6 linked regions of the Neurospora crassa OR74A genome follow. The protein of the gene in region 4 purifies or fractionates together with the protein of the main gene of each other region. This does not show direct contact. Links are inferred from orthologs where the notes say so. Each region holds a gene or a part of one and is shown on either strand. Other genes may lie near its edges. The genes, in order: NCU03114, NCU17030, NCU06314, NCU07289, NCU03311 and hat-2.

Region 1 (4,533 bases), on a different chromosome or scaffold from region 4:
TCAAACACCAACGATAGGTAAGGAGTGGTATCTTGCACATCTCGGGACGTCATGTCGTTACGGGGACGATAGGAGTTGGCTCATCGGTGTCTGACGGCAGTGAACACGATGGACGGTCAGCACTCCACCACTTTCCACATTACCACGGACTGTCGTTAGACTTCTTCTATGTACAACACTGAGGTTTGAGATTATATATGCGGTCGCACAAAGAAGCAAAGTGCCGGGCATTGTTGGATAAGAAGCACTGCCCTACCAAAACCATAACAACCACATATGTACGCAGCTATTAGAGGGGATTCCGAAAGGACCGGGACCGGGACTGGGACAAAGGAACCGAGCCACCATGGTCTAAATGGAGAGGGAACTGGACCCAGATCCATTCCTTGTCGGCCTCGAATCCCCTCATATTCGCATCTCGATGTCGGGCTTCCTGGGCCCTAGCCCCGGCCGTCGACGTACAGTGGGAAGTGGGAACAAAAGCCTGATATCAATCTCGGCCTGGCACTTAGTAGGCGACCGAGCAGCTGTTGTTCCCTTTTCCCCATGGGAGCAATTTAAATAGTCTTGTGAGACACCCCGACAACTTCCTCTTTCGAGCCCCTTTCTCACATGGTATCCTGGCCTCAGAATGCGTCTTCATCTCTGACGGGATCGCCAACTTCAAGCCCCCTTCGCATTTCTACTATGGCAGGTCTCTCATGTTAGTCAACGGTGATCGACTCTGCGCCGCTGCAGTGGTTTATCATTCCACTAAAACGTCTCGTTGTGAAACAGCCCAAGACCGGCAATCGTCTGCCGAAATACAATGCAATTCTTACTTGAGACCGACGATATAGATATTGAGATTTATCCACATGGGTATGTAGGCATACCCGCATCACATCAAATGCCACCTCGACCTCGGGCACTCCCGCCCAACACCCCAACATGATAGGTAGTGACAACATGCATTAGCAGTAACCTTAATGGTCTTCGTCTTCCAAGTGTGTGTCCAATGGCCACCACAGCCCCATGTATTTCATTTTTGACCTTCGCGCGTTTAGTTGCATTGTCACAAGTAGGCCTGCTCACTGCGGGGGCACGGCCGGTTGCCCGGTTGTGCATGTTTCGATATTTTCTAGATGCTGGCAACCGTTGAGTACCCCAGATCCCAATAAGCAAGGAAGATCTCCAAAATTCTGCTATGTTTTCTTTGCATCCAATGTTGCGTATAATGAACCGTGCGGCTCGTCATCTTAAAATGCTTTTTGGGATACCATGCAGGGTACTCGTCAGGTGGGCCGATGAGCTCCCATCTCCGAGCATGTATGCATGCGATATTATTATGTTTGTGATAGAAGTAAGCATATGCGTAACAAACAAAATGCTTAATTGGCGGTCTGGCTGGTGGAAGAGGAAATGGCCTGCCAAATCACGGAGGTCGACATATTCTGAGAAAACCAGGAGGGGTGCGACCTCACAAAATAGCAAGTTGAAGCCAATCATGGCAGCAGCAGAATTCATAAATCCCGGATAACAACGGCTTGTTGATAGAGATTACGAGTCCAAATCAGCATTATGTTGTGACGGCCAAAACGTCTTGTTCGTCTGTGTTGTTTGGTCATCAATCATGAACCCAAAAAGATGTACCCCCCACCCTGTCCGTAACCGCGATTACGCCCGCCAGGCAATAAAAAGAACATCCAACGCCTTACGATGCACGAGCTCAAACAATACGCCAATTCAATGCTTAGAACCAAGCCAAAGTCCATGTCGCAGGAAGATTCGGCCATCTCTCCTGCCACTCGGCCAGGACGTCCGGTACGCGCTCATCGAATCCTGATCTGGCGCCTACGCTTCCCGAGTCAAAGGCAGAAGCGCCAACCTTCTCCCGCTCCTCGGCAGCAATCTTGTTGAGTGAGTCTGCCAAATCGACAATGGCTCGCCCTCCCACGGATGCCTCTTCATGGTTATCCTTGATATCGATGTTGATGACGTGAACAGGCCTGTTAAGTGGCGAGCCACGGTTGAGAAGATCTTCAATCACAGCATCCCAACAGCGTTCCTCACAGGTGATGACAACATCAGCTACGCCGCCCTCCATGCCATCAGCTCCCTTGTCATCCTTGTGCTTGGTTCTAGGCATTCCAATCTGCCAGTCCTGCCATCGCTCAGGGCCCCACTTGACTTGGCGGTTTCTCCCAAGCATGTTTAGCAGTCCATTTGCGCGATATAAGCGAGGGTCTTTGGCTTCCAACTCCCGATATATACTATCGTATGATGTTTCGTTGAACTTGTAGACATTGGGCTGTGTAATGGACGGCCCGGGGAGACGGACAAGAGAGCCTGTACCAAACGAAATCACGGGATAATTTGCAAGAGAGAGTCGCAAGTGACCTTCCATGGAGCTGGTGAGGGTTAGACGGGGTCATCCAGTTGCGTGACGATGCGATGCGTAAAATTGCTCACCGATTCTGGTTACTGGCGCAGACGGTGCAAAACTTTAGCTTGAAGCCGCCAGAGTCTTCACGCCCACCGTTTTGACCATTCTGCTCATTCTGGTCCGGCTTCGATGAGCTCGCGGCACCAGTTGGGGTATCTACAGCAGACATAGCCGGCAGTTGCAGGTAACTTGTTACTGTGGCAGATGTGGCATGCTTGACTGGAAAGACCTAGAAAGCGCAAGATGCCAATGTTAGTTATCAATGCGTTCCCTTCTGCGATACAGACATGGCAAGTGCAAAAGTGTAGGTTGTCCTCGGTACACATCAGATAAAAAAAGCGTATGTAAAAGTTTGTCATCAAACGCCAGACATAGCAGGCTACAGACAGCTCCAATAAAAAGATCATCATAAAGGAAAGAGACGGTTGATAAAGGGAGAGCGGAAAAGAGCGCAGGAATTACCTTTCAAGCTTCAGCTGAGCGCAAAGCGCAGACAGATGATGATTAAGTTAGTCGAGGTAGCCTGCTACCACACATATATAACTTGTTAAATGTCGTTGATGTCCAAACCTGTTCACCAGTTGCTGCTGGCGCGGAGATTTTGGACGGTGAAAAGTGGGATGTGGAATTTGGAACAAATCTGTTTGGTTACCGACTGCGAGGGACAAGTGGTGGTCATACGCACATAGTGCCCCATCTGACCGCTTTCCAAAATTAGAACGTTTCAGTGTTTCAGAGTGAAATGGTGGGTGGCTCGTGCGTCTTGCAGCCCGTTGCCCTTCTTTCCGTTCTCGTCAACTTCCCCCACCTCTCGAGTCTGCAGCGGTCCGCGGATATGCACTGCAGAATCACAGTGAGACGATCCCCAGGTATTTTTTTTTTCTCCCAGGACCCAAACCTCACGGGCCTCGAGCCTCGGTCACCATGCGTATCGATGCACTGTAGAATATCGTGCACAGAACATTGGAACTTACCTTTTCAATAACTTTTCTTAAAAGGTCCCACACAGGGAATGCGCAACTCATAGCTAGTGCCTTGGGAAATTCCATGGGTACCACGTTGCTGTTCGGGACGCATTCACGGAGCCAATCACCCACATCGAAGGCATCGAGAACATCCAATGGTGGACACAAACATGCAGTGATAAACATCCCTGTTGGGACGGGAAGTTGAGAGTTTCGTGCGAAGTTTTTCTTCGTTGGAACATGTTAACCAACAATAGAGGCACACGTAGAAAGTACATTTGCAAATGGCAGTATTACCCGCGTGGTATATCCTGTTTCGATATGTGTTAGAACGTAGAGGTATTTTGGGCGTAAAATCAAATTCAAGTTTTAATCTCCGTGGTTGACACACAGAAACTGCAGTGTGTCCTGCAAGTTGCCCGCCTTTGTCAACGAGAGCTGTCCTCTGAAGTGGACTTTTTGAGCCCCCCATACCTAACCCCGATTCGTTACCCAAAAATTTGCCAGCCATCGTCTAGGTCGACACTAACAGGATAAGCAAAGAGGTTAGGTATGTTGGTCCAAGGCGACCGAGTCCCGTCCTCAGAGGTTCGACTGATTGATTGCAGGTGACCAGCGGTTGCTATTTGCCAATGAGAGGAGCAGGCCTAAACCTGGAGTAAACCTGCGGCAGCGCGCTTAACTTTGTCCAAGTTGTACTAGAGGTATCCCGTCGTAAGTAGAGGTAGTAACTTGATGCGGCACCCCCCCCCCCAAATCTACCTACCTGTTCCTGCCTGAGATTCTGCCTCTTTTTCTTCTCCTCTTTTCTTCGAATCCCCCTCCGTTCCCACCATACCCTGTCTATATTGACAGCTCGCAATCGCTCATCTCAGCTTGCCGACCACACAAGGCCTCTCCATGTCTATACAAGCTCTTTAAGCTGACAATTGCCCACCTTGCTACCCCAGTGTGCCCCTTCGCACACTTTCACCACTATCTTTTCTACATTGCGTCCCTCACACGGGATCCCTTAACGAATTCGGCCTAAAACCGAAACACTCAGAATCCAGAGCCCTTACATTTCCGAGACTTCAGACGACGGACAAGCGAACCGTTGAACAAGCCGTTGGTAGTTGTGGCCGCTTTGCAAGCATCAAACAT
Region 2 (5,056 bases), on a different chromosome or scaffold from region 4:
GCATCTGCTGCATCTGCATCATTTGGACCATGGGGTTCTGCATGCCCCTGTTCATGGCCATCTGTTGCTGCATCATCTGGAAGGCCTGCTGCATCCGCTGGAGATACTGGGCCATGAGTTGGGGGGTCATACCGGCAGTGCCGGCGCCGCCCATGCCGCCCATGACATTCATACCGCCTTGACCGGAGCCATCATCCATGCCACCACCTTGCTGACCGCTGCGGCGCTGGCCGAACTTGCCGCCGCCGCGTCTCGCAGCTTCCTCAGCCTCCTCGCGCAGGTTGCCGCGGGGTTGGGCTTTCTTGACTTCGATAGGCTTACCATGGATCTCAAGGTTGGCAGAGAGACACGCCTCGACGCCAGCTTCGGACTCAAAGGTGACGAAGCCGAAACCACGGGGACGGCCAGTGTCCTTATCCATCATGAGGGTGGCATCGACGACACGGCCGAATTGGGCAAAGTACTCGCGGAACTCGTGGTCCGTGGTCTCCTGAGAAACGCCACCAACAAAGATCTTGGAAGTCTTCTCTTGCTCATCGCGGGGAATGGCGCGCTTCGGGTCGATCTATAAGGAGAATGAGTTAGTGGCCACTTATTTGACGGGTTAGACGAGCTATGGCGGGCAAACGTACGATCTTGCCGTCAAGGTAGTGTTCCTTGACCATAACAATGTTCACTGTTTTTGGGTCCTTGAAGGTAAGAAATCCGAAGCCACGCGAGCGACCGGTGGCGCCATCTCTCATAACGGTGCATTCTACAACCTCGCCGAACTGCGAGAAGTAATCTCTCAGGGATTCTAAAAAGTCACAAGACCGGTATCAGTACAACTGTCACGAATACCATATGGTACATATGGTGCCCCTTGAGGGCAACAATTACCATGAGGAGAGGACAGGGAAAATGGCAAGGCTTACGGTCTGTAGTCTCCCAGTTCAGGCCACCAATGAACATCTTCCTATAAGACACAAGCGCACGCGCAAGACGTTAGTCAACATCATCTTTTGAGCAATCTATGATACCTGGACATGAACAAGTAAGCGTAACATGAGGGCAGTGAAGAATGTGTGGGCTCGATGAGATGAAATGCGGATGTGAGAAAGACATTGCGAGTGATCAAGCAAACAGCCCCAGCCGCCTAGCCCTTTAGACACCCAAATCCTGAGCGAATCCGCATATGGCTACACGCGAACCCAAGAGCTACCAATCAGTGTGATGCGGAAGCATGTTTGTAGCCGTTGTTTGGAGAGGCGCGTGCATATAGCGTGAACTGGGGAAGCAAGCCCATTTGCCCAGCCGTTGCGCCAGGACTTGAGCAGCCTCAGGTAATGTCTATCCCAGACCTCTAGTTCGACCACATGGACCGTCTACCGTCATGATCCTTGACATAGCATGGGCTCCACCATCAATATCCGAAGAACTACCCTTCATCTTGTTTATACTGGGCCTGGTGTTTTGACTGTGGGTGTGGCAATGGATGTGATTCTCCCGTTGGCTTCGCAGGTTGGCGGAGCCCACCGACCGAGGACCGTATGATGGTTGTCATTTGGCGAATGAGAAGTTGGAAGCCGCCTCCGCGATGTTCTCAAGGGTGACGAGACGACTGCTGTCCTAATGTGCCGAATGCTGACTTGACTTGACGGAAATGGGCCAGGGTGGGGGGATGCTACGGCAGTTCCCAGAGTGAACAGAAGATGCAGCAGCGCAGCAATGTTCCACTTTCCAAGTGGTCTCTGGGTGTGCCGGAATCTTTCTTCGAATTTTTTTGCTGTCTCGAGCTCTTTGCTACCGTCAAGCTAGGTACTGTCTGTATCTGTTCTGGGTGCTGCCCTTCTCGCTGCTAATCTTGCTCTGGCTGCAGGCTCATCGACCGTCCTGGCAAAAGGAAGCCGGTTCCCTCACGCCCTATTAAGATTACCTCCGCAAGGCCATCCACCATTCTTGTAGTACAGACAGGAGCGTACTCCGGGATCAATCTGACGTCGAAGCTTGATCCATGGCGTGACCCTGGACAAGTCCACGGCTTCCAGCCTCTTTTCTCCCGATTTTTATGTTCACGTCCATAGCGGAGAGCGATCCCTTCCTGCCTTTGATCACTTGCAGTCTTGTAGCCCCTGGTGCATCCATACGGTATGGTTCACCCATACGCGCCAGAGTAACTCAGAGTGTCTGATACCAAGACTCTACTGTGCTCATCAGGTCCTTGCGCCGCCCAATCCTTCCATTCCCTACCAGCCAACCGAGCAGTTCTGGGACGCCACGTCCTGAGCGGGTCTCGAGTAGGTGTTCATCTCTTCATGTGGGAGAGCCTGGGCGGGGCTGCAGCTGCGTCGGGGCGAAATCGAGGATACAGAGAGGGGTTGTACGGGGGTTGGGGGATGTTACGAGCATATACGTGTGTCACGAATAGCATCAAGGGGATGTGACTTACCCATCTTCTTTGGCATTGGGGCCCTTGTGTTGGGCCTGGGTCGGTGGGGGAGCATGATATTGCGATTGAGACTGGCTGTTGTTGTTGTTGTTGTTGTTGTTTTGGTTGTTGTTTTGGTTGTTGTTGTCGTCCTCATGGCGAGCGACCGTGGTGGACGGGCCGCTTCCGAGATTGAAGTCGATATCGTCTTCGTCTTCGTCTTCTTCCTCATCGTTGCCGTATTGTCCGTTGCCTCCATTGTAGTAGCCTTGCTGACTGTAGTCGTTGGATCCTCCGTAGTTGTCAGCAGCCGACTGCTGGACGGCGGCAGCTTGTTGCTGCTGCTCTTGCTGTTGCTGCTGTTGCTGCTGTTGTTGAGAAGGCTGCTCAGTAGCTGAAGTCTGAGCTGTAGTGGGGGCGGAAGCTGGTGCAGCGGCTGGCTTTGAGGCAGCGGGAGCGTCGTCGTCGTTGTACCTAGTTCGCAAGAGTGTCAGATCATGTTCAGATTGGGTGGTTACGCGAGTACTCAAAATAACATACAGGTCGTCGAAGAGGTCATCCTCGTAATTCTCTGCTTCGGCCATTTTGGCGGTTGTTGTGTGTTTGAATACCGGGTATCGAAGATGGAAAAGAGATGAGAGTTGAGGTTGATTCAGACTGGTATTTGTGTGGAACGCTGAGATGGCGTAGGGCGGGGAAGGATTGCTGGAAGTAGACCAGGCCGAACAAGGTCAGAAAGAATACACAACTTAAGATGGTCTAGTCGTCGAGAAGCAGCGAGACGCGAATGGATCGTAGTGGTCGAGTTGTCTCGTCGCAAGAAGAGATGCGGCGGATGGACCTCGGAGCAGCTCAAGTAGAGCCCGAGGTGGGTGGAAGTCGAGTCCGTCAGGTGCTTGTACAGTTTCCTCCCTCAGATCAAAAGACCCGAATTTGGGCACGGATTGGGTGTACAAGTGAACTAATGAAGTCGTCGGTTGTGGTTGTGATTGCTGCTGTCGAGGATGACTTGACTTGGGTAGAAAAGTGAAGGTGGAAAGTGTGGAAGAGTGGACGTCGTTTGCTTTTCAAGTGAAGAAACCGGACCTGGAACTCCATCAGTCTGCCTGCCTCAGTCCCCTCGCCGCTGCCCTGCAGTCCCATTCAGTTTGGCGCCGAGTGTTAAGGTTCGGTCGGGTGTGGACCCCGATTCAAGGCACCGGCACCGCGAGTTGGGGCGCTTCCGGCAACCAAGACTTGGGGTCGGGTACTAACAAAAAGACGTTACCTACCTTAGGTACTACCTCTACATGACTCCTCTACGGCACTTCCCTTGCCCACCTAGGTGGCAGTCGCGTGTCTAGAGGTAGGTACCTATGGTAGGTCTGCAAGGGCCAATTACCTCTAGGCGCGTAGGCGGTGAGAAACAGCCTATACAACGAGGCCTGTGTACCTGCGGGGAAGGGGGTGCCAGTCCAGCGCACCTTATCACACCCTCTGAGGTGGGCTGCCCATGCGCTGTAGTGGTTCAAGTTGTGAGCGACATCGGCTGCCCGTCTGAGGCTGGCGAACAGCTGGCGAGCTGTGACAGGCGGACGGTGTCCAACTGAAGTCAATCACTGCTGGAACAGGAAGGCAAAGACACCGAGATGAGATGACCTGAATGATGGGCAAGATGCCCTGGACGTGCCCGGTTGCCAAAAGCCATGTGTTTGTTAGTGGCCCCGAGCCTGGCAACCGCTGTGTACCCAGGAAACGAGCCGATGGGCTTAACACGACCACGCCATCAATGAATTGAAGGGAACAGGAACGGCCACTTCCATTGTCTGCCTGTCTAGCTCCATGGACATTCCCTCCGTCCCTTTCAACGAACGACATTGTTGACCATGGTGTGATGCCATTGCGCTGGTAAACCAAGGCGAAATCACCAGTCCTGTTTGTATACTACCCACTCACATAATGTTTTCTTCTTCTTCGAGCTCGGGCAAGAAAGCGTCTCCCCAGGTACGTGTTAGTGCTTCATTTCCTCACTCCAATGATGCTAACAGGCCATGATGTCGCTACGCCAGCAGGAGATGGTGCAAGTTGGTATGTCCTGCCTGATGACTACAACCCCCCCCTCTTTCGTTGTTTGTTGTATAACCAGTTGCTGATCCCATGTCCCGTCATGGCTTCAGACAGGTCCGAGTATGTCCCAAGTCCTATTCCTAAACTCAAAGACGGAAACACTGACATGACTCGGACAATGCGACAGCTCTGGCTCCCCTTTTTGGAGAGCGCCCCAGAAGGATGCCCCGCTAAAGAAGACGACCACTCGCGACTCGGGCAAGGTCGTTGGCGCTGCCTATTCCCATGCCGACATGCTCAAGTTTGATTCATTGTGCGTTGGTGCCGGCGTTACTGTTTGGATGTCTCTCTGGGAAACGACGGCGTCTTTGCTGACTATGGCGCTCTTGGACTAGAAATCTGTCGAACGCCGGATCGCGACCACGAACCCCTCCTCCCTCGTCCTCTGCCCTCGGCCGAACCACTTCCAATAGTACAGCCTCGCCCCATATCAAAGGGGTGACATCACCTCCTTTCCAAAACTACATGAATTTCATAACGAGCACCAACGAAGACTGGGCGGCCGACGACGCAGACGATGTATACGCCTACGAAGACGATGGT
Region 3 (5,275 bases), about 1.6 Mb from region 4:
AAAACAGTCCGTTCACCAAGGCCCATCCAAACCGCGAGGACACGTCACGCAACATCTCCGTTCAACGTTTCTATAAAAACCGCAAACATGATGGGCTCAACACCGATACCCAAGCACCATGAGCTCAAGCCCTACAATCTTGCGGTTGCCGGCCAGTATGTTACTTTTCTGCCTCTGGACTCACCCGCCTCCGCTTTTTGGGCTCTAACCTTTCGGGCAGTGACGGTACAATGTGCGATTCTCAAGGCGAACTCTTCATCAAGCCCTGCACCGATCAGGAGCTTCAGTTTTACAAGACGGCCAATGAGAGCCACCAAGCGTTCGCCGACTTGATGCCCGTTTTTATGGGCGAGCTAGAACTAAACGACTCGACAAGCGTCAGGGACTTGGATGAACAGCTCCCCGCTGTTTCCGAAATACTTTCCAAGGAAACAAAAGAGGAGATCATCAAGTTTAGCAAGGAACAGGCTGCTGAGGCCGCCGCCCAGTCCCCCGCGCCGAGCACTGACAGACAGTGGACGGAAAAGGCCAAGTCCAGAAAGATCGAGACCAATAAGTCGGTGGTGCTGGAGAATTCAGCATACGGTTACACGCGTCCTAACATTATGGACGCTAAACTCGGCAAGCGGCTGTGGGCAGATGATGCGCCCAAGGCGAAGCAAGAGCGGTTTGATATAATCACCAAGGAAACCACCAATGGCTCGCACGGGTTTCGCATCGCCGGCATGCGCGTTTACAAGGGATCCACCAACCCCTCTGAGCTGGACGAGCAGGGTTATAAGGTCTACGACAAGCATTACGGCCGGTTAGAGGTCAATGCCGACAATGTTGTGGAGGCGATGCGCAAGTTCATTTTCAATTCTCAGGCCGGGATAGATGAGGAGCTTGGCAAGATCATTGCGGGTCTCTTCCTCAATGACCTAAAGCGCATCGAGGAGGTGTTGGCTTCGGAGGAGAGCAGAATGTACTCGGCGAGCTTGCTGTTCACATTCGAAGGAGACGGCAACGCGTTGAGAGCTGCCCTTGACCGGACCCGAGCTGACATGTCGGGAGAGCAATACAAGAAGGATGATGGACCGTACACGCCAGGTCTATCTGCATCTCGCGTTGATAGTGGCATCGAGATGGATGACGAGGGGCAGATGGTGTTTCCAATCAACGCAGCCATCGGCCAAAACATGATACTGGCGAACCTGGCTCAGGCACCTGGTTCCCAAGACATCCAACTCACTGCCGATTCCGACGCAGACAGCATGTCGGGTTCCTCGAACGGCGATATTCCTCGCATCTACTCCCTCAAACTCATTGACTTTGCACATGCCGAGTGGACACCCGGGCAAGGCCCAGACGAGAATGCTCTGTTTGGCGTTCGGAGTTTGATCAAGATCTTTGAACAGCTGGCAGATGATTGAAGGGCGGGTTTCCGAAAGCAATCGTGGAGTTAAGGCGGCATTTCAAGGCGTTTGGGATTGCAATTGGGGCTACCTTGCGAGACTACGGTTAGAGCATGTCACGGGCAGGTTAGAGGAAGGAAAAGAGACGAAAAGGGAAGAGAGCATATACGAATATATATGCATAGGTAGAGGAGAGGTTTTTGACGTCCGTTACGAACATCATTGAAAGAAGGGGAACCAGCCACACGGGCTATTAGGGGGACGGCAATTCTTTTCACGCAATATACCCCTTATTTTTGTTGTACGCTGTTATCCGATCTTGCCACAACTTGAACGTAATTGTAGTATCTGGATGTGGTTGTTGTTGTTGATGTTGTTGTTGTCTGTGACAGCAATTCACAACTTGCGCTGGAACCATATGCCATATTTTACTGTTTCAATGTTTTTTCTTGAAAATCTGCTATGAAGGCAGACATGCTACTGAAATTTGACAAACTCACCAGCAGCTGGTTAGAGGCAATAGGTACTAAAACGGGCTGCTTTTAACTCGATTTTCAAACACTCGAACTGGGACGAAAAGTGGAAGCGGAAAGCACAATTACACCTGGCAGTCTGGAGTAAGACAACCTCAATGAATGCCCTTGACACGCTTAGTACCTTCAGGGTACACAGCGTTTGAGCCCCACTGCCCGCAGCCGCTAAACTCACCTCAGCTTCAACAGCCCTGGCCTTGCTGCAGTGAGCATCAGCTCCCCGTCTTCCACTTAGGTTCCATTGCATGCCACAATAACCTGGAATCCCTGCATGCCAACGGCTGGACTTTACAACTTTCACCCCCATCGGCGCAAACGCAAACAGAACCTTACAAGAAGGAGAACGAAATACAAGTACATATCCAACAGCCTGTGAACAACCTCGTTCACGCGCTGAACACAGCCCGCAATGTCAATTCCAGGCCTCGGTCAGATAGCCCCGCAGGTAAACGAACCCAAGCTCTCGCGCGGACATGCTTCGTATAACCCCAGGCGCGCACGTGTATCCAACGGCATCACCATCTCCTCACAAGCCATTATTATCCATAGGCACACTCGTGACCCGAGATCACAACCAGCTAACCATCGCCTGCCATTTGCCCGTTTTCGGTAATCCAGGCTCCCACAACCACCCAGCGGACCATTAACCTCCGACCGTTCGGCGAATGGCGCTTCTCCATCCCCCACCAACACAGCACCTTCTCATCGAACTCCTCCGCCGCCGGAGTCACCGTCCGCCTCGTCGCCGGCACTGCTGAGCGCGATGGCACTGAGCTCGCGCCCAACTGCGTCTACACATTTCTCCCCGGCACCAAATCAAAGCTCTTCACCGATCAAGGATGCACTCTGGAGATCAACAACACGGGCGGCTACCCCCTCGAGGACCGCGTGGTTGAACACCCGCCGGAACAGTCGCCCATGCTTAGCTATATCAACCTCCACTTTGGCCTCCAAGACCACGAGCGTGCCGCGGCCGCTCAGGCACAACAACAACATCCTACACACCACCAGCAGCAGCAACAAGGGAGAGGAGCAGGAGCAGGAGTAGCGAGGTCAAAACCCGGGCCAAGAGTGCTGATCTGTGGTCCACCCGGCGTCGGCAAGACCTCGCTGGCGAAGCTCCTCGCTGCCCTCGCCACGCGCATGGGCTCTCAGCCGCTGGTAGCCAATCTGAACCCGACCGACGGGCTGCTGTGTCTACCCGGAACGCTGGGTGCGGCCGTGTTCGGCACGTTGATGGACGTGGAGGAGCCGGCGGGTGGGTTTGGCGTGACGAACACGCCGATCAGCGGTCCCAGCGCGGTGCCAGTCAAGAACCCGCTCACATTTTACTTTGGACACGAGAAGGTGGAGGACGACGTGGACATGTGGAGGCAGATGACGGAGCGGCTGGCGGTGTTGGCCAGGCGCAAGTTTGAGAGGAATCGGGATGTGAGGGTGGCGGGGTTGTTGGTTGATACGGCGCCGGTGGAGGCGGGGGACAAAGAGGGGCAGGAGCTGTTGGGGTGGGCGGTTAGGCAGTTTGATGGTGAGTTTATGTCTGATTGGCCTCCAGAAAGACCTCATCAAGAGTGACGAAAGCTAACAATGCAACTATAGCAAACTTCGTTGTGGTGCTAGGCTCTGAACAGCTAAAGACAGAACTTGGGCAGCGGTTCGCAAGCGAGAAGACGAGCTTTGAAGAGCCGATTACTGTCCTCGGGTTAGACAAGTCGGATGGTGCTGTACAGATTGACAAGGCGTGGAGGCAGAAGTCTACAGAGACGGCGATTAAGGAATACTTCTTTGGTGGCATTAAGGCGCGCTTGAGCCCCTTTACACAGTCAGCCAGTTTCGACGAACTAGTCGTTTTCAAGGCGCCTGACGGTGAGTTTTCTCTCTCTCTCACTCTCTTTCTCTCGCTGCACTGAAACTACCTCACCCTACCTGGCACCTAAGCTAACGCCTGTCTTTACCAAAACAGAACCCTATGAAGGCGCCCCAGTCCTCGAGCGAGTCGAAATCACCCCCGAAATGGCCCACTGGACGCTAGCAGTCATGATCGCTTCCGTGACCGACTCGCCGCAAGCCATCCGCTTTTCCTCGGTCCTGGGCTTCATCGTCATCGCCGACGTGGACCAGGAGCGCAGGCGGGTCAAGTTCCTGTCGCCGGTCAGCGGTCGGCTGGGCAACCACCCGCTGATATGGGGACGCTGGCCGGAACCGTATCTCAACCTCCTGGCGTAGGCTCGCCGAAACGTGATACGGGTACGGATGAGAGATGGTGGTCACCAATTGAGCCTGCAAGAGACAAATGATCTCCGGGTTTGCTTGAAGGTGTGGCAAAAATTGACGGATACGGCTGGCGTTGGGTTGGGCTTCGAGATGGAAAATGGTGAAAATGGCATGTAAAGGTGTTTGTTGTTATTCTTGCTTTTGGGTGTCTTTTGACTAGCATGAGAGTGAGCGGGAACAGATTTGGTACCTTGTTATTCTCCTTTGGTGGCTTGTTTGATTCTTGTTGAACATTGTTATTGGTACTTGAAAACGCAAGGCATCAGTCAGTTGTATGCTTTTTGCAACACTCATATCTACCAGTCACTCATTGATATGGGTTTCGTGGTAGAGAGCATGATTTTTGGTCTCTTGAGAGTTTTGAACGTTCTGCTCGAAATGGAGAGTTCCTAACCAGCTTCAGAAAGTAATCGTACTATATCAGCAAAGCTCACATCCAAGTTTTCCCACAGTAATAAGTAGATCAAATTAAAGACGCCGAGATACATATGTCTCAAGTTAAACGTTGTTAGGAATAGAAACAAGTTATGTGCAATGTGTTTACGCTGGTTGTAACATAGTATAGAGTCTTCCCGTTTGGTACTCGTCTAAGAACGTGACCGATTTGTTTATGGTTGGTTCCCCCTATTCTTGTTTTCTATCCTGGCCCATGAGGCTATGATACTGATGGTGACCATTCGGACGAATGACATTATATGCAGTAGGTCATTTACCTTCACCTTATCGCTAGAATCACATAGTGAGCGTGACGAGTTACCTATATAAGGGGATTCAAGGGCACCAGGGCACCGTTAAATGTGCATGGCAAGTAAATTTTCCTGTACATTGACATGCTCCCCTCCGGGAGTCAGTAAAAACGTTACTTCGTAACTCTATCAGCAATGGTTATTCACTTTGCTGGAGAAAGAGGTACATCCTCCACTAGGAATAAATATCGCTGTCCTACAGTAGTTTCTTATGGTACGTAGAGCATCATCTTTCCGAATGGGTATAGAGTCTGGGGTGTGTATCATGATGACTTCATATTGTCAGCCTGCCTTCGCAGGCTAGCTCGTTATCTGAAGTTGTGGATAA
Region 4 (5,200 bases):
AATGGATTGCTGGGTTGGTTGAAAATGCTGGCCCTTGCGGCCGCCTCTGCCTCTCCATCCTCCGCGACCGCGACGGCGAGGAGCGTTTTCGTCACGATTGGGGGGTTCGATCGGCAGAGTGTCCCAGTCGGGAGGTCGGTTCTTGGGTGGTCGCCCCAAGCGTCGGCGGCGGATGACAGGCTCTGGGGGAGGGCTTGGGCTCTTGCCCGACTCGTCTTCCTCTGGGGCTTCCTCTTCCTCGTGTCCATCACCACCCGACTCATCATCCTTCTCGACATCATCCTCGCCGTCTCGTTGTGATGGTTCGGCGTCGTCTTGATCGGCATCGGGCATAGGCTCATCCTCGTCGTCTAGGCCTTCGAATGTCTTTGGGGTGCTTTCTGGTTGTGCATGGCTTTGATAAGTAACTGCTTGTTTGAAATGGAAGGATTTGCGCGTGGCTGCTGCATTCGTTGGAGTGGACCACACAATATGGAATACATTTGTACAAGCAAAGGGAGGGAGGAAATGCCAAATGATAAACGATGATGAAATCGAGTAACTTACCGAGGGCCTGTTGTGCGCGTTTCGCGGCTGCGCGGCCTGATCTCCGGGAAGGCATGATTTCGAAGCTAACGTATTGTATGCTTGGCGATAAACTGTGATCGGGGTTTGGAGTGTCGGCGCAGAGCAAGGCGGACGGTTGAGTTGTGTTTGGGGTTTGGAGGTGACGATGTCAAAATTACTGAGACGCGGTTGACAGGTGGGAGACGTGAAGCCGCTGCAGTCAGTCCTGCTAGTGGTGGTTTGCGTGTGAAGCGACTGCCCATTGACCCACTTGGCGTGTACAGTGTAGTGGTCAAGCGCACTGTGAATTCCTTTACGGTGCGATGACAAAGCCCTTCAACCAGATAAACCAAGCACTGTACTGTGTAAGTCATCCCTTTGAAGTCCTGGATTCCAGCTTATGGACACATTCGACAAACCTGTCTCTTCTAGACTTCATGTTTTCCATATGGGGAGTATTGATATCTTGTATTAACTATCTTGATTCCCCAAGTCCCTGTCGGTGCCAAGTCAAATAGCAAATAACGAAAGAATTCCCCTGAATGCCTCGAGGAAAGATCAACTTTCAAACCCGAAAATGCCCTTCCGATATGCCTGGGTAAGTAGAAGCTGATCGATCTAACCTCGTTTCCCATTTTATGCTCATAGTGTGCCAGGCCCCTTTGTCCTGCCGCGCTGCAACCAGCCTCCGCAGCCACCAGCCCTATTCTGGGCATATGATAACCTGCTTCTCTTCCGACCACCAATATGCTTCCAAGCTTCTCGAAAATCCGGACGTGCCTGTGGATCGTCTTTTGCCCGTAAACCAAAGTTTAAAAGCCACCACGTTCTCAGTAGGATAACCTTGTCATCTCAGTGAGGCTGACCACCCTGTCAAGCTTAAGAAAACGCAATGCTGTCACGCCGCGATTCTGTCCCGTGGAAATCAAGAAGCGGAGCCGCCCACCAAGAGCCAACGCTCTATCCAAACTACCCGCGCACCCGAGGCCCCTAGTTCGCAGGAAGCTTGTCGAGGTTTGGCACTCCCTCAGGGAAGATCTCCTCAAGCAGCTTGTCCTTCTTGTTATAGAGGAGACGATAAGCTGTTTTGACGGTTCCGTCACTGACACCAGCCACTGTCGCAATCTCCTTGGACGTACGTGACTCGTTCCTGATGTGGGATGCCATGTAGATACACGCAGCGGCGACGGAAAGGGGAGAACGGCCAGCCAGCTCCGAAATAGTGCTGGTCTTGTCGGCCAACTGGCGGGCAACATCCTCGACCGCAACTGAGTTGCGGAAATTGAGGTTGCTGCAGTAACGAGCGCAAAGCTCGGTAGCTGTAGTAGATCCCTTGCCCTGGTATTGCTGGTTGAAGGTGGGGATGCTGGTCGTGATTGCATGCTCCTCGCCTCCGATCTTCTGGAGGAAGGATTCCAACTGCTTGAAAACCCTGCCAATCTCCTTCTTCGAAACCTTGGTCAGGCTGTAAATCTCGCGGAACGTACGCGGCACTCCCGTTTGGCGGCATGCAATGAAGATGCACCCAGCGGTGATGGCTTCCTGAGACTTGCCCTTGAGGGCCTTGTTGTCCTCGACGAGCTTGTAAATGTGCTTGGCAGCATTTGCCACCTGGGTACCAGCGTTGATGCTGTCCGTCAAGCCCTGGATATCGCGATAGGCCTGCATAAGCTGCTTGGAGTTCTTGTCCTGAGTGATCTTGTTCTGAAGGTGGGACAGGTTCTTGCCGTTTTTGCCATCGAACGCGATAGTGGTCTGGAGCTGGTCACCATCGATCAGCTGGTTGGGACCATCACCAACACGAGAGGGGTCATCGTTGCCCTGGTCGTCGTTGGAGAAAGTACGCCACTCAGAGCGGGTATCGATGATGCGCTCGCCCAGCACAAGACCGCAGGAGCCGCAAACCATGTCTCCTGACGAGAACTCTTCGACAAGGTGAGGCGGATCTTCCTTGCACTCTGGGCACATGAGGAGATTCTGGAGATTCTCCTTGAACTTCTCCTGTTGCGGAGGCTTGGGAATAATGAAATCGGTCATTTTGGGCGTTGTTCAACGGTACTGTGTATTTGTACTATCTGGAGGAAATGGGAAAATCGTCGTGACCCAGGTGAACTGCGGGTTCAAGTTTCTGCAGCGGATCCAGAAGCCGGAAAATAAAAAATGGTCGAACAAATGTCGAAGGCGGGGAAGGTGGCGCGACGCCCAAATTTTGATGGATTTGGTGCGTCGCTTTGGACGAGAGAGATCAAAGCCCTTTGTTGCAAATGGGCTTGTCTCGCTGAATTTGGACGTGACTGCTCTGGTGTACCAGTGAAGGCGTCCGAGGAGGCACTCGAGTGAGGTCGCCGCAGAACAGAACAGTCGGGTCACGGTCGGTACGCTGATAGTGTTGTCGTCGGGGATTACAGATGCTTCGATGGACTTCAGATCGAGCGCGACAGAACCTACGGGAAAGCGGTCGAAATTGAATTCCTTGGTTCCGACTTCAACAACGACAAAAGAATTTTGTCGGCAGCGTCCTTTCGATGGATGATTTGTGGTTGAGCACGGCGAGCGAGCGAGCGAGCGACAAGCAGTGACGGGTTGACAAGATGTGCGTGGACGAAGGGGCGAGGCGCGGAGTCCTGAGGAGAAAAAAAAGAAAGAGAAAGAGAATGGAGGTGGGAAAAGGCCCAGTCCGGCTGCCTGTTGTTGACCTGAGTCGCAGATAAGTGGAAACCCTCCAGGGAAGGAAGACTGACGGGCCGGCTCCGGCTGTTTGGCTGACGGTTAGGTAGGTGCGGTTCGGCCTGCAGAGGTAGGTCCGGGTACGTAACACTGGCAAACAGCCGCTGTAGGATTGGCCCTAATCGCTAATGGCCCCAGTGACACCTCAGCAGGCACCAAGGAACTGCATGGCGCGATCTTGCTTCCATTCAACCTGGACGCCTTGACCCCAGCTGCTGAGCCCCACATAGGTAACCTTAAGTACGTAGCGACTCGAGGCGGACCGTTCCTTATTAGGGCGTGTTCGTCGACCTGGAATGAATGGACTTGTTTCAGAAGAGGAAATGGTTTTTCTTGGGGATATGGTCCCTGTTAGGTACTTCGAGAGAAACGGGCTGATTTTTGATCAAAGTCCCTCTTTGAAGAGAAGCACTTTCTACTAACAACTTCCAACTGCTCATTGGACCTGCAAATGGCTTAGAAATTCTAGCGCTTGATATGAGCCTCGCCGCGGTCGAAGGGCTAGACTTGGCGACCAAATTTCCAAGTCCGATCCCCAACTTAAAGCTCTTAGTTGAGATAGTTTCAGATATGGTGGTCACGGGCAGAATGCTTTTGACTGCTTTGTAGTGTACTATCTCTCGACTTCCAAAACCATTTCCGAATCCTGATTTCCAGGTCGACGAACACGCCCTTCCCTTGGAACAGGGGAGTTCCCCACCTTCCCCCGTGTTGCCACTGCATACCTTCAGCCTTACAAAAGAAAGGCCATGCATCCTTGATGGTTCTCGGACGGACTTTCCGAGACCGGACGTTGCATCGACGGAGTTCAATCCGGAGCCCGGGATTCCACTTATTTATGGACGAGCCGCATCGCATCGAATCGAACCGACACGTTCTTCCCCCACACCAATCTGCTTCACCTCTGATACGATACAGGGGACTTGAAGACTGCCACGCCAAACCTGCATATTAGACAGCATCTCGTAACGGCTCTTTGGGGTCCCTGCGTCTACGAACAACGATAGAACGACCTTCGAATCCAGGTACTACTATCCTTGCGGGAATCACCAGAAATTTATAGTAGGTTGAACCTGTGGACTAAGTGGGCTGTGCATGAGGAACAAATAGGAAGATCGTGATCTTATGTTGGTGGCCTAAGTAGCAAGCTACACCAGGCCTCTTGATAGGAACTGAAACTGACTTGTGTTTCAGGCCCCCCCTCGTGTCTTCCGTAGAGAAGTCGCTGTCAACGTGGTGATGGACTTCGAAGCCGGATAGTGTACCCGTTCCCAAGTCACTCGACAGTTGGAAACGGCATGTTCCTTTCAAGTCACGGCTCCTTAACACCAGCAGCATCATCGGCCAGCAGTCAAAGCGCAAAATCCACTCGAAAGCAGTGGCAGTGACAGTAACGGGAAACCACTGACAAAGAAAAGGAACCTCGGAAAGGATCCGCGAAAAAGATCCGCGTTCCCCGGTAAGAAAGCCATAAACCCCAAAAACACCCACACAAAGAAGATTGTCACCAGCCCGCTAGCCACTCAATGATGTTGCCGTCATGCCACAAAGAACACACCACTACACAGCCGTGCTGTCATCCTCAACGGGCCCTCTCCCCAAGCCTCTAATTTTGAATGATACCGCAAGACTGACACAAGTATAAGTGATCTCACATCCCCACCCTATCCATGCCTCCAGTTATACGTAACAACTCTTTCGACACCACGCGTCTACAGACTTCACATCGTCTTCGAAAACAACACAATCAGAAAAATGCCACACCCCCACCAAGCCCCCGAGTTCTCTTTCTACGTCACCAGCCCCGACAGATCTAACCCCAGCCCTTCCAACTCTTCCACCTCCTCCAACTCTCGTTCCAAATCTGCCAACCTTAACTCTGGTTGCAGTACAAGTTCCAACCCACACTCCAGCTCCTCAATGGCAG
Region 5 (5,264 bases), on a different chromosome or scaffold from region 4:
GATACCAAATCTCCGGAACGTTCCAAGTCGCCACCGACGGAAAAGACAAGCAAGCCACCAAAATATGGAGACCGACCAGTGTGGTGGCTGGATATCTATAGCCCGACCGAGCAAGAGATGAAGGTTATCTCCAAGGCATTTGGTATCCACCCACTCACAGCTGAAGATATCATGATGCAGGAAGCTCGCGAAAAAGTTGAACTTTTCCGGCACTATTACTTCGTCAATTATCGTTCATTCGACCAAGATTCAGCAAGCGAGAATTTTCTGGAGCCCGTCAACATGTACGTGGTCGTGTTCCGCGAGGGCGTTCTAAGCTTCCACTTTTCGCAAACACCGCACCCGGCCAACGTGCGTCGACGAATTCGTCAGCTGCGTGACTATCTCATTCTCTCATCGGATTGGATATCGTACGCCATTATCGACGACATTACCGATGTTTTTGGTCCGCTGATTCACAACATCGAGGATGAAGTCGACGATATCGACGAAGCCATTTTGCTACTGCACTCAGAAGACGATCCGAATTTCCCAACGGATAATCTCAAAGAAAAGTCTGAGGCCGGCGACGCAACATCGGCCGAATCTGGACGCGACATGCTCAGACGCGTGGGCGACTGCCGCAAAAAGGTGATGTCGCTTTACAGACTGCTCGGTAACAAGGCCGACGTCATCAAGAGCTTCGCAAAGCGTTGCAACGAGCATTGGGAGGTGGCGCCTCGGTCGGAGATCGGTCTGTACTTGGGTGACATTCAGGATCATATTGTGACCATGACTTCGAACTTGAGTCACTATGAGAAGTAAGTTGTCTCTCTAGCAATCCAATTGCTTCTCCACTAGTTACTACTTTCTAGCAAATTTCAAACCCAGAATCCTAACATATCATTCAACTTAGAATCCTAGCACGATCTCATGCCAACTACCTAGCGCAAATCAACATACGCATGAACGAGCGACAGGAGCAGACGGCTGACGTGCTCGGGAGACTCACCGTCTTGGGTACCATTGTACTCCCCATGAACATCGTTACCGGTCTTTGGGGCATGAACGTCTGGGTCCCTGGGCAGGGGAACGAGGGCGACCTCAAGTGGTTCACGGCCATCACAGCGGGACTGCTACTTTTTGGGTTTGGCTGTTATCTGATTGCGAAGCGTGTGTATAAGATTGTGTAAAGATACAGACAGGCACGCAAGCGAGTGAGTGGAGGCAAGTGAGGAGGGCTTATGATGTACCATACGGGTTCAACGACTATGTTTTGGACGAAAAGGTCAAGATCCTCTCATGTACTGAGAGAGCACATGTCTACATGACAGCGTTTTGGTTAATAAGGATGGGCAAAAGAAACAGAACGAAATACAGGCGTTGTGGGGTGGTGATGGCGTTTTGTGGAGTGAGATTGAATATCTGTCATTTTCGCGATTGGATAGACAGATGCTTCTAAAAGAATAAAGCGGAAAGCAAAGTCATGTAGTCCACAACTCTGTCTTCATCCCTTTGATGATGTGTGTCGTCTACCTGATCAAAGCTATGTCAGTATACATCGTTACGAAACTTTGACTTTGTTCAGCGGTTTAAGCTTCCAGACTGTGGCTGTTAAATTCACCGATATTTACCCTTTTCTATTGAACCTTTGCAATGCTCCCATTTAGAGTGTGAAACCGACCGCCACCACCATAACGCCTGACCAGCCTAGAAAAGAATGCATAACGACAGAAAAACAGGAACATGAGGCCCCAATACATATTTTTTGCCCATGTTCACGGAAAGTTGACTGGTTGAATCATCCGTCTGTCATATTAGCGTAGGCCCTGAGCAGAAAACTGAGCGCGAAGCGCCAAAATCTGCTGCCTCTCCGCTTCCTGCAGCTTGTCAATCGTCTCCTGCGGCAACTCCATAACGGCACGCATCAGCGCCTCTGCATCCTGCCCTGGGGCAGCAGCAGCAGCAGTCGGAGCTGGAATAGGAGCCGCGGCGACAGGTGGTGCTGCGTAGCCTCCAACAGGACCAGGGGCAACAGGGGGGGTGGCTATGGCGCCGGGATAAGCTCCGTACGGAGCACCGCCCATAGGGTTGGGGACAACGGGAGTACCCATAGGAGGAGCAGCAGCAGCGGCCGGGTTGTCGAGAACTGAGTTGATAGCGTCCGGCGAGACCAGGCCCATGATAAGGAGCGCTTGAAATATCGCGTAGCTCAGCTGGGGCGCTTGGTTGAGAAGTTCCGTGGCCCTAGCAGGATCGTTCGTCGCCAGCGTCTTCATCTGCTGGAGGATGTCGAGAAGTTGAGCCGGGGGAAGGGTGTTGAGGGTGCGGGAGATCGCGTCGGTGCAGGTAACATCGGGGGGAAGGTCTTTGCCCTGGGGCAAGGGTCCGAGAGCAGGAGGGGCGGCGCTGACGGGGGGAGCGGTGTTGTAGCCTCCCCCATTGGGAGGTTGAGCGTTGTAGCTACCGGAGGCGTTCTGATTCGACTAGGTAGGCCGTCATGGTCAGTGGATTGGGTGTGAAAGTGAGGTGAGTTGAGTTGGTTTGTGCCATACCCCGCCATCACGATCTCTGCCACCGTCTTCGTCGCTGACAGTCTCGTTGCTGAAATCGACACGCAGCTTGCGACCCATAATCTCGTGGTCGTTCAGGTTTCGTACAGCCGATGCAGCGGAATCTGGAGATCGGCGAAAGCTGATTAGCGTGTGCGCGGGAGAGGGATACTTGATTCAGAGATGGATACGCACCGTAGTCGGGAAATTCTGCGAACCCAAAACCCTTTGGCCTTCCAGTTTCACGGTCATAGACAAGGCGGAAGTTGAGGACCCGTCCAGCGCCGCTAAAGATTTCGGTTATCTGCTCTTCGGTAAGGCCTGCATTGTCCCTGTCAGTGGGTGGGCTTTTATAGATGGTCGTCGTCTGACCTGGACAGAAGCGGGTTGTCTGCGTACCATAAGGGATGTTTCCCACGAAGACCACACGTGAAGGTTGGCGTGTCGACATGGCGATGCGCGCGTTCACTGTCGAGCAAATATGTTGTACGAAGCGCAAAGTGTCTAGCAGTAGCGCTGCTGAGGGTGGAGAGGCACAATCCTGCGTGAGTTTGACTGCGAGCTGTGTGGGCTGATCGAATGGGAATCACCAAGCGAACCAAATGTTGGACAGGTGGGATGGGCAACCAGGAATTGGTATGAATCGATGGGAACAATAGGGACCGCGCAGGAACAGCGAACTTTGGCAAATGGATGAGATGGAAGTTAACACAGTCGTAGTTAGACTACCTGGTGGCAATTGGGTCCTCTTTAGCCTTTTCTCTTCAATTTCAAAGCCCAAGCCTGCTGCCAGATACCGTCGATTTGTAAGATGGGGGTTTGGTCGAGGTGGGAATACTCTGACAACGGGGAGAAGTTCTGGGAATGGAGTCAACCTTTTGGTGGCTGCAAATGGAAGTTTGTAGTTCTGGATTTGCACACGTCAAAAATTGGACTCTCTGTCGCTGTGTCGCTTCGACGATGGAATGCAGGGGCTATGTACGTCGCGGGGGTGGATACCTCTACTTGTCTCCGAGCTACGATCCATCAAGGTCCTGCTCCCGTCGCGACAAGCTATAGCGACCCACGTGAGCGTATGGTCTGTGCTTGACCAAAGTGAGACAGGCGGTACCTAGAAGCCCAGTTGCGCCAGTAGGGTGGTAGGCAGATGGCAAGTGGACTTTAGTGATGCGCCTCGCTTGTGGTTCTGCCTGTGGGTGGTCTTAGCTCCGACGCTGGAAAAGCTCGGGCAAGCTATCGTGACGACTTCAATCCCCATTTCCCCACCACATCCGTCAACCAACCCAGGGCTCCTACTCCAAATCATCTTTGGGCCGCCCATTACTTCACAGCAGCCCAGCATGTCGAACAACCCATATCAGGATCTCCTGAACAAGATTCAGCAGACTGCCCGGTCTCGCGGCGGCGGCGGTTTCCCAGGTGGCAGGCCCCCCATCCCTCCCCGCGGTTTGGGCCCTGCCTTGACCGGTTTCGCCCTTCTTGGTGGTGGTGCTTGGGTCCTTTCAAACTCCCTGTTCAACGTTGATGGTGGTCACAGAGCGATCAAGTACAGGAGAGTTAATGGTGTTAGCAAGGAGATCTATGGCGAAGGTTCGTCTGCTTTCGCCGCTTGGTCTCTATCTCGCTAGCCTTAATCGTTTTTCTGACAAGTTGAATAGGAACCCATCTCATGATCCCCTGGTTCGAGACCCCTATTACCTACGATGTCCGCGCGAAGCCCAGAAACGTGTCCTCCTTGACCGGTACCAAGGATTTGCAAATGGTCAACATCACCTGCCGTGTCCTTTCAAGACCCGAAGTCACGGCCTTGCCTCAGATTTACCGTACCCTCGGTACCGATTACGACGAGCGGGTCCTTCCTTCAATCGTCAACGAGGTTCTCAAGAGCGTTGTCGCGCAATTCAACGCCAGTCAATTGATCACCCAAAGAGAGATGGTTGCCAAGCTTGTGCGTGAGAACCTGGCAAAGCGTGCGGCCCGGTTCAACATCCTCCTGGACGATGTGTCGCTTACAGTACGATTCCTCCACCCGTTCTTTTGCGTCGTAGATATCTCTGGCTAACCATACCCCAGCACCTCGCATTCTCCCCCGAATTCACTGCGGCAGTAGAGGCCAAGCAGGTCGCACAGCAAGAAGCGCAGCGCGCAGCTTTTATTGTTGACAAGGCGCGTCAAGAGAAGCAGGCTATGGTGGTCAAGGCTCAGGGTGAGGCCCGTTCTGCGGAGCTCATCGGTGAGGCCATCAAGAAGAGCAAGTCGTATGTGGAATTGAAGAAGCTGGAGAATGCGCGTGCAATTGCGAACATCATCCAGGAGGCCGGCGGCAAGAACAGGCTGCTCCTTGATTCTGAGGGCTTGGGCCTCAACGTTTTCGAAGATCGGAGGTCCAAAGACAACTAAGCCGAGGCCTTTGGAAGTTAGAGAGGAGGAGCATGAGATGACGGATAAAAATCTCCGCTGTATATGTATCTTATGGATGTGACGGAAACCCCAAGTGTACAACAGACTTTAATGAACTTATCGGAAAGGCCGGATTTAGCGATGATCTTCAGAAAAGGAAGCTTTCGCAAAAAAGATATCCATCGAAAAGCTCGTCTGCAAATGGCCCTGTTTAGGTGCGAGGCATCCTCTCTATTAGTGATCCAAAGCGGTTATTCAACCTAGCGCGAAGGACGCCTCGTGGTGGATCAATGAAAGATGTTGATACAAAATCACCTGAGTTGCAGCTCGAAA
Region 6 (5,085 bases), on a different chromosome or scaffold from region 4:
GAGACTCTCCCGCTGGCGGTTCCAGATATCGGTAAGAGCCTCGGTGTAGAGTGTGTCCTGGTTCTTGACGTTGTACATGTGCCCACCGTTCGCTTTGCGCTGCCTCTCTATGGCATCTGCTGATGTGGCCATTGGTCCTTGGAGCTGCTCAAGATAGCCGCCTTTCATGGACGTCCTCAGGAAACTGATGCCCAGTCCCTTGCCCGTCGGGTCGCCGGCGCCATGAACTGCAAGCATAGCCTTGCCATGACTGGCGTCAAGAAATGCCTTGGTAGTCTTCCAAGGCGCCATCTTGTTGGCAAGAGCATCTGGAGAGAGCTCATCGTTCACATCAACCCCAATGTCATCGTCCTTGAGGGAATCGGTAGCATCATAACCACCCTTCTCGATCTCGTGCAAGCCCACTTGCATGGCGTCCAATAGGCAGACCTCTTCCGGCCTAACAAGAGATCGAATGGCCGGTTCGGCCATTAGCTCTTCGCCTTCGGGCAGCGCCCAATCTTTTGTTTCCTTTCTAAAGCGCAGGAACTCCTTCAACTTTTGACGATTCTGAGACTCGTTGGACTCAGCTACATGCTTAGTAATATCATGGAGGGTAACATGCTCGCTCTTGCGAAGTAGGCGATACGAGACCATCTTGAGACGATTCTTGGCAATGTTTGTAACACGTCTGGAATGGGGCCCTGGGACTTCCATGGAGGGCAGGGTTTGGCCGACAACGTAAAGATGATCGATATTTCTGATGTACCAAGTTGAGCCTTTTTGGCCGGTACTGCTACGACCAATCAGGAAGTCTGTATTCCTCGGGTTATGCTTGAAAATAGGGGCGCGGAACATGTGGTTGTGAAGAGTAGGCACGACCTCGCCAGGGTGGACGTGACCGAAGATGGCGAAGGGTGAGCGATCTTCTGGCATCAATATACAAGTCTCGCCAAGCTCACGCTTCTCAGGTCTGCTATCAGCGCCTTTAGCTCGACGGAAGTAATTAATGATTTTCTGTCCCATGCCAAAGTTGGAGAGAACGGTGGGAATTTCCTCGCAGTACTCGAAAAGGATAGCGGTCGAGTTGTCGTTGAGGGAGAGGTCATGAGTACTCTTAAATACCTCGCTGACGCGTTTACCCTTGAGAGTCTTGCGCTTGATAATGGCAGGCTTGTCGAACCTGATGAGATACTGCAGATCCTTCTTAGGGTGGAGCTGAGGCCGGTGATAACTATGAGGGTCACTGGCCGCGAGCTTGACGCGGTAGTAAGGCCAAGACAGTCTCTGCGCAGGCAAACTGTGCTCGACAGGGATAGTAGCCAACGTGGCCCGAACCCTATTCTGGCTGTTCTCCTTCAACGCGTCGTAAGCAGCGTCAGAGGAGAAATTGAACCGCTGTATAAGGTCCCGCCCAGCTTTCCCATTCGCCAAGCGGACCGTTTTATGTTGGGTCTTTCGCCGCTTAGATGACCGCTCAGATTCGACGTCGTCTATCAGCAAATAAGGGTCGTTCATGTCAAGGATGACACGCTTGCCCAATTTCGAAGTGACCTGCTCGAATTCGTCCAAATTTGGAGCCGTGAAGTGAGCAATAGGAGGAAGACCTTTAGGAATTTCGATCTTTCTCCGCTTTTGAGCAGGCTCATCGAGGAACATGGCATCCCAGTCCGCCTCTTCATCAGGCTCATCCTTAATGAGCATGTTGTCAGGTTTCGGCTGCGGTCCCGGCTCGATGGCAGCCGCAAGACTGTCGCCCAAGAAAATCATCTGTTCCCAGTCCTGACATATCGTAGCTATGTCCTGGAGGGTATATCCACCTATCCTCTCCGAATCCGTTTCGTCGTCCAAGCTGAATACTTCCAGATCGGTTTGTTCCAAAGGCTCTGGCTCTTCGAGACAGAACAGACCTCTCGCTTCCGCTTCCTTAATCCTCTGCCAAACGGAGCCAGTGGCAGGGCCCGGAATCCGGAACTGCTTTTCCTGATCGGCATCCAACTCCAGACTGAGTTTTGATGGTATCAAGGGCTTGGGAGCTTTGGGGGGCTTTTTTGAGATCCATGTGGCATTCTTGGGCTTCAATAGTTCGTTCCAATGCAGGATGGCGTTTTCCTCAAAACCGGGGAATAGTTGCTTGACGGCGTCGATGAAGTTTTCCGCTGGCGGAGGAATGTCGGGATCTTGATTTGTCGCATGCGGCTCTTCGTCATTGTCGAAGTTGAGGTTCCGGAGGTCTTCAAGGGACTCCCCGGCGGCAGCATCCGGACGTTTTTTGGCATCAACATCGTCATGGACGTCGAGCGGCGGGGGAGAGGATCTCAGGCCATCGTGAGCTGTGTCCATGGGCGATGAGGGGTCGCCACCAAAGAGGTCGTCGTCATCATTAGTGCCGGCGTCGTCGATGAGGCTTGGCAGCTCGCCACTGGTGCCGGAAGTGCTCGGTTCGTCGTTGGGTAGCTCGTCCTCGTCGCTCAAGTCGATGTCCTCAAAGTCGATGGCATCGTCTGCCTTGCCTCGTTGATCGATCTCGCCTCCCGACTGGAGGTTCCCCAGCATTTCAGTCAGACCATCGTTACCACCCGGGCCGAAGCTGTTGTTGATCTGGCGAATGGCTTCCTCATCGCGGGCCTCCTGCTCCTTCCATCCTTCCTCATTGAGGGCGTTGAAATCAAAGTCGTCGTTGTCTGCGGGCATCTTGCCGGGCGGAGAGGCGATGCCGCCTCAACGCTGTGTGTTGTCGTCTGTCGCGCAGTCGTCCGCCCGTCTCTCTCTTGCTCCCTCCAACGGTTGCGCGGCCGGTTAAGCTGTCAGATCATGATCCTGGAGCGGAGAAATCGTCGAGAATGCCCGCGGCGGGGGAGCAAAGTGAACCAAGCGCGCGTTCGGTGTTGGTGGGGTGTTGGCAACGCCGCATGCAATTTTGGGTCGTGGTTGTGGCAGAGTCGAAATGGCCGTCGGGTGAGTCGAGGGTGAGGTTGACGTTGAGGTTGCAACGGTACCTAGCGGAAGTTGCAAAAGTGTTGAACCTCCCACAAGCAAGGAAGCACACTGCCACTGCGCGGAGTGCAAGCGTGCTTGAATGCGAACAACGAATCGGCCTGTCGGGGCCACTGCACGGCTACTCTAGGTACCTCTAAGTGGGTCCGTTGACCGGGCCCGGGTCTGGCAGCCGTGTGACAGCCTACCTAGGTACCTACCTATTCTAGATACCTAGCGAGCAGCCCCAGGGCAGTGACTGGGGGACGCTAAGTGCAGTGAATGGCTCGCGCACACTGTCCCTGGTCTTGAAGCATAATACCTAGGTAGCGTTGAACCTGGAACTTGCTTTGGGAATCTGGTAAGGAACCTGGAATAGGTAGGTAGGTACAGGTAGAGGTAGAGGTAGGTAGCCCAGGTACCTAATACCTAAACTGTACAACCTGGAAACTCGGGGCGTTGATTTTCAACTTCCTAGGAAATCAGGCATAACCTGTAAGCATGCTGCCCGATTATGTGCATTTTATGTCCACAAAATTAATTGGAGGAGACTTCCATGTTGCCACCCCGAAGCACGGTAAATTCGATTCTTCAATGTCCTGCCTTAAAACACCTATCTTTTCAAGGGCGCTGGAGCGTGGAGACATTCAAAATCACCGTCTTGCATAGAATTTTTGGTGGGCATGAATGTTGCAGTATGCTTACAGCTTAGGCCTGATTTCCCAGAAAGTTGAAAACCAACGCCCCGAGTCTATACGGTATGCGACCTCACCTACAACTTACAAGTACCATCCAGGTAAAGTAAAGAATATGGAGGAAGAACTAAAGCTTCCCCGCCTTGTGTGACAACCAAATCAACGGCAGGTACAGAAGGAATAGGACCCCGTTGGAGGCGAAGAGACATGAATCGAGAGCGAAATCAAATACTGATTAATTGATCTCTTACAACAGTAGAGTGACGCGCAACTTAAGTCCCGTCTCCCTCTCTGTTCGGGCCAAATGGCCACAATGTCACCCGCAACGTGGGGGGCAGAACACACCTGAACTGATGCGAGATGTCATTTCCAGTCTCTCTGGATTCTCATTTCTCTGCAACCACACTCGCACGCCCATACCAGTGCTCAGCCCGTTTTTGGCATGACAGTTCGGATGTTATACCCTGCGAACTGGCAGGGCCATGAAGTTCAGCAACAGTACACTCACTACCAATGGTGTTTTTGACGTACAGTGGGAAACTGTGTTAAAGCCACGGCCGAAGCCATGGTTACGTACTAGGCTGTCGGTAAAGCCAAAGCTACATTTACCTACTAGAGGTACTATTCCTCTTTCTTGAGATGACTGGATTAGGTGGTTTAAAGAATGTAACAAATCAGCCGATATTGTGGGCCACAGTCATACTGCGTCTACCATAGCAGCTTCGTCATCGCCTTTTGCACCGTTTTCTTTACCTCGCACACCAAGTGAAGTTTCGAGGGCAAAAATACCACACTGCTCACCATGGCAAACCCCGTAATGGAAGAGTTGAAGCAAAAGCAAGATGCTCTAAGGGCGAGGTTCGTCGGCAAGCAGCTGTCCGAGGTCCCTACGCCCAGCGTCGTCCTTGACCTTAAACAGGTCATGGTGAACTGTGAGCGCATGCTCGAAGCAGCCGAAAACCTTGGCCTGCAATGGAGAGCTCATATCAAGACCCACAAGGTACAACAATGGATCATGACCCATTAAAACGACAAAACAAAACTGTCACTGACAACTGTAAACAACATATAGACAACAGAGCTCACCCGCCTCCAAGTCGGAAACCACCTCACCATTCCCGTCCTGCTAATCGTCTCAACCATCCTTGAAGCCGAAAATATCACTCCCCTCCTCAAAGAGTACCAATCCAAAGACCGCCATGTCAACGTTCTCTTATCCTTCCCGCTCTTCGCATCCGCCGTCCCCCGTCTCGCCGCCGTTTCTTCCCAGCTCGGCCCCGATGGCTTATCCGTTATGATCGATCACGTCGATCAGCTCCCCTACGTCAAGGCCATCCACACTTCCTCAGGACACCCTCCCCGCGTGTTCATCAAAATCGACGTCAACTACGGCCGCGCCGGCGTCAAGACCGACTCTCCCGAGTACCCATCTCTA

Evidence for each region.
Region 1: the proteins of NCU07289 (region 4) and NCU03114 purify together in Saccharomyces cerevisiae (affinity purification with western blotting; 4 studies listed by BioGRID, with this or other methods). This does not show direct contact. The link is inferred for Neurospora crassa OR74A from reciprocal best matches to the Saccharomyces cerevisiae genes SUA7 and SSU72.
Region 2: the proteins of NCU07289 (region 4) and NCU17030 purify together in Saccharomyces cerevisiae (affinity purification with mass spectrometry; 3 studies listed by BioGRID, with this or other methods). This does not show direct contact. The link is inferred for Neurospora crassa OR74A from reciprocal best matches to the Saccharomyces cerevisiae genes SUA7 and HRP1.
Region 3: the proteins of NCU07289 (region 4) and NCU06314 purify together in Saccharomyces cerevisiae (affinity purification with mass spectrometry; 3 studies listed by BioGRID, with this or other methods). This does not show direct contact. The link is inferred for Neurospora crassa OR74A from reciprocal best matches to the Saccharomyces cerevisiae genes SUA7 and CLP1.
Region 5: the proteins of NCU07289 (region 4) and NCU03311 purify together in Saccharomyces cerevisiae (affinity purification with western blotting; 4 studies listed by BioGRID, with this or other methods). This does not show direct contact. The link is inferred for Neurospora crassa OR74A from reciprocal best matches to the Saccharomyces cerevisiae genes SUA7 and RNA15.
Region 6: the proteins of NCU07289 (region 4) and hat-2 purify together in Saccharomyces cerevisiae (affinity purification with mass spectrometry; 3 studies listed by BioGRID). This does not show direct contact. The link is inferred for Neurospora crassa OR74A from reciprocal best matches to the Saccharomyces cerevisiae genes SUA7 and TAF1.

What each region holds. Positions count from the first base shown.
Region 1 is NC_026501.1:4,604,391-4,608,923, reverse strand, and holds NCU03114 (SSU72), read right to left. Parts: upstream 3,053-4,533; 5' UTR 2,888-3,052; intron 2,655-2,887; 5' UTR 2,595-2,654; coding exon 2,452-2,594; intron 2,391-2,451; coding exon 1,733-2,390; 3' UTR 1,302-1,732; downstream 1-1,301. UniProt on the Saccharomyces cerevisiae protein: Component of the cleavage and polyadenylation factor (CPF) complex, which plays a key role in polyadenylation-dependent pre-mRNA 3'-end formation and cooperates with cleavage factors including the CFIA complex and NAB4/CFIB.
Region 2 is NC_026505.1:5,320,421-5,325,476, forward strand, and holds the start of NCU17030 (heterogeneous nuclear ribonucleoprotein HRP1), read right to left. Parts: upstream 3,607-5,056; 5' UTR 2,992-3,606; coding exon 2,948-2,991; intron 2,882-2,947; coding exon 2,429-2,881; intron 956-2,428; coding exon 915-955; intron 797-914; coding exon 633-796; intron 566-632; coding exon 1-565. Other genes in the region: NCU04241 (TBC1 domain family member 22A), read left to right, coding at 4,346-4,390, 4,456-4,474, 4,564-4,573, 4,641-4,766, 4,849-5,056. UniProt on the Saccharomyces cerevisiae protein: RNA-binding protein, which is involved in the polyadenylation-dependent pre-mRNA 3'-end formation and cooperates with the cleavage factor CFIA complex and the cleavage and polyadenylation factor (CPF) complex.
Region 3 is NC_026504.1:2,942,504-2,947,778, forward strand, and holds NCU06314 (hypothetical protein), read left to right. Parts: upstream 1-2,185; 5' UTR 2,186-2,845; coding exon 2,846-3,455; intron 3,456-3,526; coding exon 3,527-3,793; intron 3,794-3,890; coding exon 3,891-4,153; 3' UTR 4,154-4,633; downstream 4,634-5,275. Other genes in the region: NCU06315 (inositol hexaphosphate kinase 3), read left to right, coding at 88-155, 221-1,412. UniProt on the Saccharomyces cerevisiae protein: Component of the cleavage factor IA (CF IA) complex, which is involved in the endonucleolytic cleavage during polyadenylation-dependent pre-mRNA 3'-end formation. Associates with HRB1/CF IB to form the cleavage factor I (CF I) complex.
Region 4 is NC_026504.1:4,507,666-4,512,865, forward strand, and holds NCU07289 (transcription initiation factor IIB), read right to left. Parts: upstream 3,254-5,200; 5' UTR 2,584-3,253; coding exon 1,537-2,583; 3' UTR 959-1,536; downstream 1-958. Other genes in the region: NCU07290 (nuclear localization protein), read right to left, coding at 1-380, 547-601; NCU07288 (hypothetical protein), read left to right, coding at 5,029-5,200. UniProt on the Saccharomyces cerevisiae protein: General factor that plays a major role in the activation of eukaryotic genes transcribed by RNA polymerase II.
Region 5 is NC_026501.1:5,271,453-5,276,716, reverse strand, and holds NCU03311 (polyadenylation factor subunit CstF64), read right to left. Parts: upstream 3,517-5,264; 5' UTR 2,983-3,516; coding exon 2,931-2,982; intron 2,853-2,930; coding exon 2,727-2,852; intron 2,657-2,726; coding exon 2,535-2,656; intron 2,466-2,534; coding exon 1,797-2,465; 3' UTR 1,236-1,796; downstream 1-1,235. Other genes in the region: NCU03312 (CorA family metal ion transporter), read left to right, coding at 1-800, 896-1,172; NCU03310 (prohibitin-2), read left to right, coding at 3,872-4,121, 4,190-4,545, 4,605-4,931. UniProt on the Saccharomyces cerevisiae protein: RNA-binding component of the cleavage factor IA (CFIA) complex, which is involved in the endonucleolytic cleavage during polyadenylation-dependent pre-mRNA 3'-end formation and cooperates with the cleavage factor NAB4/CFIB and the cleavage and polyadenylation factor (CPF) complex.
Region 6 is NC_026501.1:2,719,386-2,724,470, reverse strand, and holds the start of hat-2 (histone acetyl transferase-2), read right to left. Parts: upstream 3,051-5,085; 5' UTR 2,674-3,050; coding exon 1-2,673. Other genes in the region: NCU16368 (hypothetical protein), read left to right, coding at 4,453-4,650, 4,723-5,085. UniProt on the Saccharomyces cerevisiae protein: Functions as a component of the DNA-binding general transcription factor complex TFIID. Binding of TFIID to a promoter (with or without TATA element) is the initial step in pre-initiation complex (PIC) formation.